Linked DNA regions of Drosophila melanogaster. The protein of the gene in region 1 interacts with the protein of each later gene in a pairwise test. Each region holds a gene or a part of one and is shown on either strand. Other genes may lie near its edges.

What was found.
Region 2: the proteins of Jon65Aiv (region 1) and CG14024 interact in a two-hybrid assay, tested with the Drosophila melanogaster proteins (one large-scale study listed by BioGRID).

The regions. Positions count from the first base shown.
Region 1 is NT_037436.4:6,037,002-6,040,713, forward strand, and holds Jon65Aiv (jonah 65Aiv), read left to right. Parts: upstream 1-2,153; 5' UTR 2,154-2,194; coding exon 2,195-2,451; intron 2,452-2,528; coding exon 2,529-3,087; 3' UTR 3,088-3,134; downstream 3,135-3,712. Other genes in the region: CG6462 (uncharacterized protein), read left to right, coding at 110-1,069.
Region 2 is NT_033779.5:5,310,767-5,317,036, reverse strand, and holds CG14024 (uncharacterized protein), read left to right. Parts: upstream 1-2,141; 5' UTR 2,142-2,358; intron 2,359-3,087; 5' UTR 3,088-3,152; coding exon 3,153-3,649; intron 3,650-3,712; coding exon 3,713-3,768; intron 3,769-3,945; coding exon 3,946-4,727; 3' UTR 4,728-5,726; downstream 5,727-6,270.

The DNA.
Region 1 (3,712 bases):
GTATTCTATGAATTTGGTCAGAAAAAGGAAATATTACATTTAAAAGATATAGTATAGAATGCAATAACAGGTATTCCCCATATTATTTTTTCAATTCCGTAGTGATAAAATGGCGCAATACCAGGCTACAAGTGCTTTCTTCCTGCTACTTCTATCATCCACACTAGTTAAATCAAGTGAGCCTTGGCTAGATACTTTTGAGCACCCCAAAGAGGAGACACCGGACGATGACGATGCAATCATGGAAAGACGTTGGCAGCTTGGCTACGAAAACTTTCGACTTCGCTGCGAAAAATTCGAGATGGAAGGTAATCAAACCGCTGCTGTGAGAACTCGAATAGCTGGAGGAGAATTGGCCACGCGCGGCATGTTTCCCTATCAAGTGGGTCTGGTGATTCAGCTGAGTGGCGCAGATCTGGTCAAGTGCGGTGGTTCCCTTATCACTCTTCAATTTGTTTTGACTGCAGCCCATTGTCTGACCGATGCCATAGCTGCAAAGATATACACGGGCGCCACCGTATTTGCCGATGTAGAAGACTCCGTGGAGGAGTTACAAGTCACGCATAGAGATTTCATTATTTATCCTGATTACTTGGGATTTGGAGGATATAGTGACTTGGCTTTAATACGACTGCCAAGAAAAGTCAGAACTTCAGAACAAGTGCAACCCATTGAGTTGGCTGGGGAGTTCATGCATCAAAACTTTCTGGTAGGCAAAGTGGTGACCCTATCTGGCTGGGGTTACTTGGGAGATTCAACCGACAAACGGACGCGACTCCTCCAGTACTTAGATGCGGAGGTGATCGATCAGGAACGCTGCATCTGCTATTTCCTGCCAGGATTGGTTAGCCAGCGACGTCACCTGTGCACCGATGGAAGCAATGGACGTGGTGCCTGCAATGGCGACTCCGGTGGCCCCGTTGTGTACCACTGGCGCAATGTTAGCTACCTGATTGGGGTCACCTCGTTCGGCAGTGCCGAAGGATGCGAGGTGGGGGGTCCCACTGTCTACACCAGGATAACCGCATATTTGCCATGGATCCGACAGCAAACGGCAATGACCAACTAAATGCAATTAACGCCTAATTGCAGCCCATTAATTGCTAAACAATATAGTCGGCCCAGACAATAAAACCAATTTGAGCAATGAAACCAAAACAGGTTCTTCTGTCGAGAAAGGAAGGTGCAAATGGTCCATTTTATGTGTGGTTGTTTTCTCTTGAATGAAAATTGTTACCGATAAATAACAATAAACATTTCGGCATTGCAGAAGAGCAAGTCAATTTGGGGAGCTCAATAAGGGCACAAAAGAAAAATTACATTGCCATGGAAATTGCTGATGAATCGCCACTGAAATTGAAATCATTGGGTTGAGTGTCCGTTTTTGGTGAGGGCATATTGGGTACAGACCGCAGCGCCTCCTCCCGCTAATCGCCTTCAATTGGCCATCTGAATTGGCTATTAACCGCAGTGATGTGGTCGGTTGAACGCGTCATAAAATCACGCGGCTTTCGCTGATAAAGAAGGCTGCGGTTGCGAAAACAACTGAAATTTGCGTGTTTGTAATCAAAGAGAGAGTCCAGATACGCAATTGTTAGACGGCGGTATGATTTCCTATGAAGTTTAAGCAGTCTTGACCAACTCACGTCCTACTCCTTGACCTTTATCGAAGGTAAACAAACCCAACTAAACTGTGGGCTTACGGCTTCTCACCCTATAGACAGGAGATAAGATAGCACTCGACTACCATGGGAATTATAAGATACGCTGAAGAGCAAAGCAAACCTTTGCCAATTTTGTATCGCAATATATAGTTATGTATATATCGCGTATGTGTAAAACTAATCAAATTAATTAGCAACCCCATGCTAGGCCTTTGGTATCGCAGCGGCTCGATCTGGAAATCCACTCGAAGCCCATAGCCCTGATTAGATCCGTATCGGGATTAATACTCTTGGATTGGGAAAGTAATTTTGGCGACCGTGTGGCTGAAGTTCATTCATTCATATCTTCGGCACAAAATCTCAACAGATAAGGTAGTTCGAACCGACTTTAGTGGTCCTATCTAATCGGGACAGCTCTATTTCTGAATTGCAACCCAATCGCAGACGCGACTTGGCCAGTATAAAAGACCCCAGCTGGTCCTTGGCCAAACAGTTGAGTTCCCTTAACTGAACAAGCAACAATTCCCAAGATGAAGTTCCTGATCATCCTTGCCCTGGCTGTGGCCGCCTCCGCTTTCCCCGAGCCGGAGCTGCGCCATCGCAGCCGCGAGATGCCCGTCGTTGGCGACATTGGAGGTCGCATCACCGGAGGAAGCAACGCCGCCGTCGGCCAGTTCCCCTACCAGGTGGGACTTTCCCTGAAGCTGAGTGCTCTGTCCAGCGCCTGGTGCGGTGGTTCTCTGATCGGCAGCACCTGGGTCCTGACCGCTGCTCACTGTACCGATGGGTGAGTGTCCCTTGAAGGAATGCCGAAAATATCTTGGAACCAATGTCCTAACCAATTGTATGTTTGATTTATCGCAGAGTTCAGTCCGTGACCGTCTACTTGGGCGCCACCGTGCGCACCTCCGCCGAGATCACCCACACCGTGTCCAGCTCCGACATCATCATCCACTCCGGCTGGAACAGCGCTAACCTGCGCAACGACATCTCCCTGATCAAGATCCCCGCCACCTCCTCCAGCAGCAGGATCTCCGCCGTCAAGCTGCCAAGCATCTCCAACTCCTACTCGACCTTCGTCGGTGACGTCGCTGTCGCCTCCGGATGGGGACGCACCAGTGACACCTCCAGTGGTGTGGCTACCAATCTTCAGTATGTCGACCTGACTGTGATCACCAACACCAAGTGCGCCCAAACCTACGGCACCTCGGTCGTGACCGACTCAACCCTCTGCGTGGCCACCACCGACGCCAAGTCCACCTGCAACGGTGACTCCGGCGGTCCTCTGGTCCTCAAGTCGTCCAGCGAGCAGATCGGTCTGACCTCATTCGGTGCCTCTGCCGGTTGCGAGAAGGGCTACCCCGCTGCCTTCACTCGTGTGACCAGCTACCTGGACTGGATCAAGACTAACACTGGCATCTAGGAAGGAGTCAGGAACTACAATTTCGCTTAAAAATAAAAATCATTTCTAAAAAATTCAAAAGTTTTATAGCTCTATAGGGGGAATTTCGGAAACGTAGATCTTCATTTATAAATTTCTTTACTCAATATAGATCAAAAGAGAACTTATGTTCCCAGTTTGAGGGTCGTCGGTTATAGTAACAATCCATATCGTCTTGTACATATGCTTTTGTCTAAAATCAAAAATCATCACAAAACAGACAAATGAAAATGAATGCAGAACCAAGCTGTTACTGGCATTCGGCGAGTAAGTTCTCATTAAAATTCATTAAATTGCCAAGCGACACAATTTTTTTTTTTTTTTATTAATTTTTATTATTTATTGAATCTTCCCTTTGTGTTAAGAGACTAACAATAAGTGTTCAAATCTTAATCTAACTTAATTAACTTTCACTTAGTGATAGTTTTTTTTTTTCATTAATGCCCTAATAAGTTTATTGCTGGGCTGGGAGGTCGTTGCGGTGCAGCCGGCTTTGACTGCATACTCGGATTAGTTTTCTTGCGAGGGGATTTGTATGGGTGGTCAGCTTTTCGTTATACTTCGTTTTTTTCTCAGCTATTACTTCGATTACTAATTTGATTTTTAG
Region 2 (6,270 bases), on another chromosome or scaffold:
TCTCTCACACATACACACAAACACCCACCCATACACACATACTGCAGACAGACGGTTGCAAGCGCCGATTTACGCCTTTGTTAACACTTTGTTTTCTGCCCCCCAGTCCGAGCTTATCCGCCAATCACCCCTTCTCATCTGGCACTGCTATTACTCCCCAAAAAAATCCACCCATTGGAAATGATTTGCTAGTCATGTGAAACAGGCAATTTAATGTATAGCTCAGAAGATGAAATTTGAACAAATTAGTTGAGTAACGTATTTGAGAAGCTCCCATAAACACTAACATAGAATATAGTTGGCCGAAACTGAAAAAACAAACATCTCCAAACTCTCACGCATGCATAGTTTAATTTGAAATTTGAAAATGAAAATGAAAAATCCTATTTCCATGGACCGCTCTGTAAATATTTGGATACTTCTACTTCACGATGCAACATGAACACATTTCTAGCATTAGGTTGTCCTACTTTTAAGCGCTGCGCCCAGTCGAAAGTCTATAAGAAGCTGATCCGTTGGATCGAGCAGATCAGAGCAGACCACACGTTAACATTAGGTTTTATATTTTTGTAACCTTTAACATACGAATACAATACAGTACAGTACATACAGATATATATAAATATATATATATATATAGCGTATTAGTTTCCGTAAGCTTGCGTTGTTTCGAAAATTTGTTTTTTAGTTTTAAATGCTTTAGGCTAAGGACAGTAATCTTAACGCGAATTCTTTACCAACAATATATGCACATGGAAACCTATGCAATAAGTTAGTCAAAAATGTAAAAAGGCCAAGCACCAGAAAAAATGAAAACACAAAACACCTACAAAAAAAAAAAAACCACAAAAAAAAAATACAAAAAAACAGATCGAAAAAATATAAGGAGAAATGAGTGGAGAATATTGAGAATCAGTCGTCTAGTATCTGTCGTTTTGCAAAGTTAAAAGAACTATATAACGTTATATATTTTGCATATGCAAAACACACATAAGAAAATGGGATATCGTGAAAAAAGAAACCACACAAACAAAAAGTTGTATTGTATATAAGGCAGGCTCTATTTTTGCTAAATGTTATTTGAACTTGAACAAATAGGGGAAAACAATGAGTAAAGTAATTGAAGCAAAGCAAAGCAAAGGCAAAGGCAAAGCGCTAGACAAACAAACACACAAAACAACATTATATATTGTTCAATATTATTATTACCTTATATATATATATTGTATGATTGCTACATAAAATAATTCTTTTGATACTTTGTACATGTTTACTTTAAAGCAAGGCAAAACAAAGCATAAGCGTATGTAAAACCCAACCCTCTAGCATAACTCTGCATATATTCATATAGATCCGCTAAACTAACGTATATAGAACCCGAAACCATAATTGCATACCACACCATCCTTTGGACTTTGTTTAAACACTTTGGACCGACCGGACGGACAGCCACAACCACAACCAACTGCAATCTGCAATCTGCAATAAGCCCAGAAAGCACAGAAAACACGTTAATGGAAGAGGAAATGTTGTATAGAACGTATGAATAATTTATATACCGCTTCGTAAACAAACAGGCAACAAAACAAACAACACACATAAACAAATAAATGATATATTTAAATATTTAAAAACAAACCACACAAGATGAACAACAACAACAAAAAACGAAAGTGTCTTAAAACGTAGTATTAGAAGTTTATTATTAATTTGTTTGTACTTTAAAGTAAAATATTTATAGAAAAAGAAAAAAATACAAAGATTTAATATACACAAAAAATAAATGAATGCCGTGTTTTGGAATTTTTGGGAATTTGGAAGATGAGTTCTTAAAAACTACTTTTATAACTCGGAATCCGAAAAATGTATAGCAATGAAGGATTTTAGGGTTTTGAATTTAGTTGATAAAAACCTTTCATTTAAATAGGAAAAGATTAAATATTTTAAACATTAAACTTAGTTAATGATTCTAGCAGGTCCTGTGATTTTTCCCGGTGGCCAGTGAGCAGCGTTCGCAACTCCAGAGAGTGCCACCCAGTGGGTGTGCTCTCCCTGCGCCGGCGCCAGGCGAGGATTGTCGGCTTTCGAGGAGAGCAACGCTGGCTCGAAACACCAGGGACCCGCAGCTGCGGCCATCCGCCGCCGACTGGCAGTTGAGAGCGAGTGGCCGCCACGAGCAGGACGGCAGAAGCGGAGCAGGCAGCAGGATTCCCCGGAGCCACAAGCAACACGTAACAGAGCGGCCCCAGGAGCAGGAGGGGGCTGGCGGAGAGGCGGGCAGCCGTAGGCTTTCAGTATACACAGGGAGCTCGCCCGAAAAGCAAAGGATAAATATTTTAACGCCCGCCGCGCTTCAAAGTAAGTTAAGTTAAGCCAAATATCCTGGCCAAGGATTAGGCGAGGGGTTTACTGCCCGGACATCCAGAAATAAACGCACAGCTGTGCTAACTACCAGCTAGTTTAGCTTTAACTTGGCTCAAGTGGTCTCCGAGGTGCCGTGAATACGTTGGGCCTTCGTGCCAGCAGCAGCTATTGGCGGCCAATTCCCAGTCCTGGCCACAAGTGAACCCATGCCAACATTAAGCAGGAACTGGCGTTGCAACTGCGAGCGCAACTTGCAGCAACAGCAAATAGCACCACTGGTCATGTTGACGCTTAAGGATGACGTCCTACTTTCCGAGTCTTTCACTCGCTCAAGTGCGTCTGTGTTGGGGCCACGATGACGTAGTTTGCCAAGTCGCTATGTGTGTGTGTGTGTTGGCCCGAATGTTGGCATGTGCGTGTGTATGTGGCAGAGGGTGTCATTTGGTGTGTACACACCAACAAGTGTCGCCTGGCCAAAAGAGCCAAAAAGCAGGGGTGGCTGAAAGATTAATGCACACTTTCTGGCCAAAACAGAATCCGAAAGGGTATCTTTGGGATTGCACTTTCTGCAAGATAGTTTATAAATAAATATACATAACTATCTATAAGATATTATACATAATTTACAGAAACTTAATCCTTTGAAGCTCAAACTTATGGTAAAATATCCAGATTTAAAACATTATAATAATATGAGATGAAATCTGTTCACTCTCACCATAGAAACCACCGCCCATCCGTGGATCATGCAGCGAGCTCGCTGCAGGAATCCCTGGTAGATTCGCAAGATGCTCATCCGCCTGCGCTATGGAAGACGCCTGCAGACCTATCTGAAGATAGGCGCCTGTGTCCTGGTCGGCCTGTGCTACTTCGCCTTCCTTTTCCGCGAATCCCTCAATGCATACGAGCACCGGGAGCGGGCTACGGCCGCGGAATTGGAGGCGGAATCGGAGCCATCAAAGCAGCAGCTCAAGCTAAAGCGGCAGCAGTTGCAGCGCCAGCGGATATTGGCCAAGCAGCAGGAGCAGGGAAAGGGCATCGCTGGGGGAAATGCCAGTGCAGGCAGCTCATCCTCCCAAGCAGCAGCTCCTCCGCCGCCGCCGCCGGCTACCACCCTGAATCCCGTGTATGAGTACTCCGAGGAGCTGCACAGTCGCACGGAGCGGGAGCTGCAGAGGAGGAGCGAGCATCTGGCCGCCGTCTGCGATCGGTATAAGCTGCAGGAAAAGTACCCACCGAATCCCTGGGAGTTCTTCGTCTCGCCTGGCCACAACAATCTCGTCTGGTTAGTGGGTCATCCCATCTCTATTTTATTTATATTTTATTAACATTTTTGGTTAACTTTTAGGTGCAACGTCTTCAAGGCGGCCAGCAGTACGTGGATGTATTACTTTAATATATTAGGTAAGCTTGAATTGAAAAATATAGAGATATATATTCCATTTTATTATATTATTACCCGATAAAGATAGATTTTAATTGATTTGGTATTACAAATATCTTCCTCAATATTCCTCTTCAAGTTAGGATATTTATTTAAGTCTTAAGAATATTCTTTAAAATTTCACTATGGCTTTCCAGCTGGCTACGATGTGAAGTATCTGCAGCGCACGGAGACGCAGCCACTGGAGCTGGCCAGAAAGCGTTTTCCACGCCCGGAACTGGGCGAACTGATGGAGCTGCTGCCCAGTGCGCTGTCCTTTCTCTTTGTGCGCGATCCCTTCGAGCGAATCCTGAGCGCCTATCGCAACAAACTGGAGGGCAACAAGAACACCTTCTACAAGGCGCTGGGCAACAAGATCGTGCATCGCTACAGGAAGCGTAATCTGGGCGGACCCTGGCCGCGATGTGGACCCACCTTCGAGGAGTTCGTCCGCTTCCTGATCGCCGAGCATGCGGCGGGCAAGAGATTCGACGAGCACTGGGCACCAGTTTACAGCTTCTGCACGCCCTGCAGCGTTAACTTCACCATCATCGGCAAGACGGAGACGTTCCAGAGGGACTCGGAGTTCATCATACGGCAGGCGGGCCTGGAATCGCTGCTCCTGGGACTGGGCAAGCTGCCGCAGCGGAAGCAGCGCAAAATTGGCAACCAGGCGCGAAGTGGCGTTAAATCCGAGGCCCTGGTCGAGCGATACTTCGCCGATCTCGACCGCTCAACGTTGGACCAATTGCTCAAGATATATCGCATCGATTTCGAGCTCTTTGACTACGACTATCGCAGGTACTACGATATGGTGCATCCGTGGAGTCTGGAGCAGAGCACTGCCGCATCCGGAGGGCCGGCAGTCGCATCCACCAGTACGACACCATCGATATCCTCTGGCCTGGCTGGCCAGTCCACCCAGGGTCAGGCGACGTAGGTGCAGTGGTGTCAAGGAGTTTGGGATCGATCAGTCGTGAAACAATCTTATCATGTACCTTTTTACACGAAAACTCAGACCACAGACAAAGGAAACACTCTCACACGATGAAAACAGAACCCAACCGAAGCTAACAAATCTACCAAAAAGTTTATGGCCAAATCAACGTTTTCCAAAAACGAAAAACCAAAAAAAAAAACACTCTTGACCTCTCTTAGATAATGCCAAAAAAAGAAAGCAAACGATGTAACGATTCGAAAGGAAACTTAGTTAGAAGATTTAGCATTTTGATGGATTTTTTCAGCCACCAAAAATTCGGACAGGATACCCTACAATTTTACATGGCGTGGCATGTGTGTTGTGTTGTAGCTAGTTTATAAGTACCTACAATTTACAGATGCACTCTCAAACCAAACGAAAACACACACCCACAAGAAAAGCGATATATTATATATATATAGATATTATAGTTAAACGATATATACAGACCTCTTTACCTATATCGCGAATGCTAATCTTCAAGGCAAGGCTGGAGAGTTTATACAACCAGAAAGTGAGAAATCGTCTTACACCAAATGAAATTCTGTATTTACACGTATTTACAACCGAATCCCCAGATACCAAAACCCTCAAAAACCACAACATATGGTACTTACTATTGTTAAGTTATTATATATACCTATATATTAACGAAATTTATAAACAGGTCTTGATCTAAGTCTATAACTTTTGTGGACTCTAGATACGTTTTTCCTAGGCTAACGAAACAAGCGGAAAATATTCGATTTCCCGATATGAAAAAATTATGAAAATGATACCAAAGAACGAAAGGAAAGTGTTTAGAACTTATAAAAACAAAGGCAAAAACCCAACAGAAAAACTTTTCATGTGATGTTTAAGGATTTATTATAAAGACAGAGAATATTTAATTATTATACTTATACTGTATTTCGAATGATAATGATAACAGAGAATCGAAAAGTAACACGATATTATTCTAAATAAATTTAAATTTTCAAAACTTTTTTTCGTTGTATGAATACAAGGCAACAAAGTTATTAAGAATAAATAATCTCTTTACCACTCGACGTACCTGAAGTTTGAAATCATTTTGGAAAGTTTTCAGGTTTTCAACTAACTCATTCTGCAATATGCGATAAGCTCGTGCGATGATGGTGATGTAATATTTTTAAAAAGCTGTGTAATAGATTAACTTGCACTTTGCTGATATACAATAATTGTGTATGATTCACACCCAACAAACCGGCGAATATTGAAGTGCAGTAAACAATTGGCAGTAAAAGACCTTTGCTGGTTTGTTTCATTATTATAAATAGTTTATTTTCATTGATCAACACAAACGAGTTATTTTAATATGCATATAGATAGGGCTGTATGTATATAGTAGTAGTCATATGTATTTTCTTGTGTGCTCCACTGCGATTATTTGTAAAGTGTAATACAGCTTTAAAAGTGAATGCTCGAATTACGACACCAAACGATCGATCTACTCAGCTAGATGGTCTACAAATAAAATGTGTGT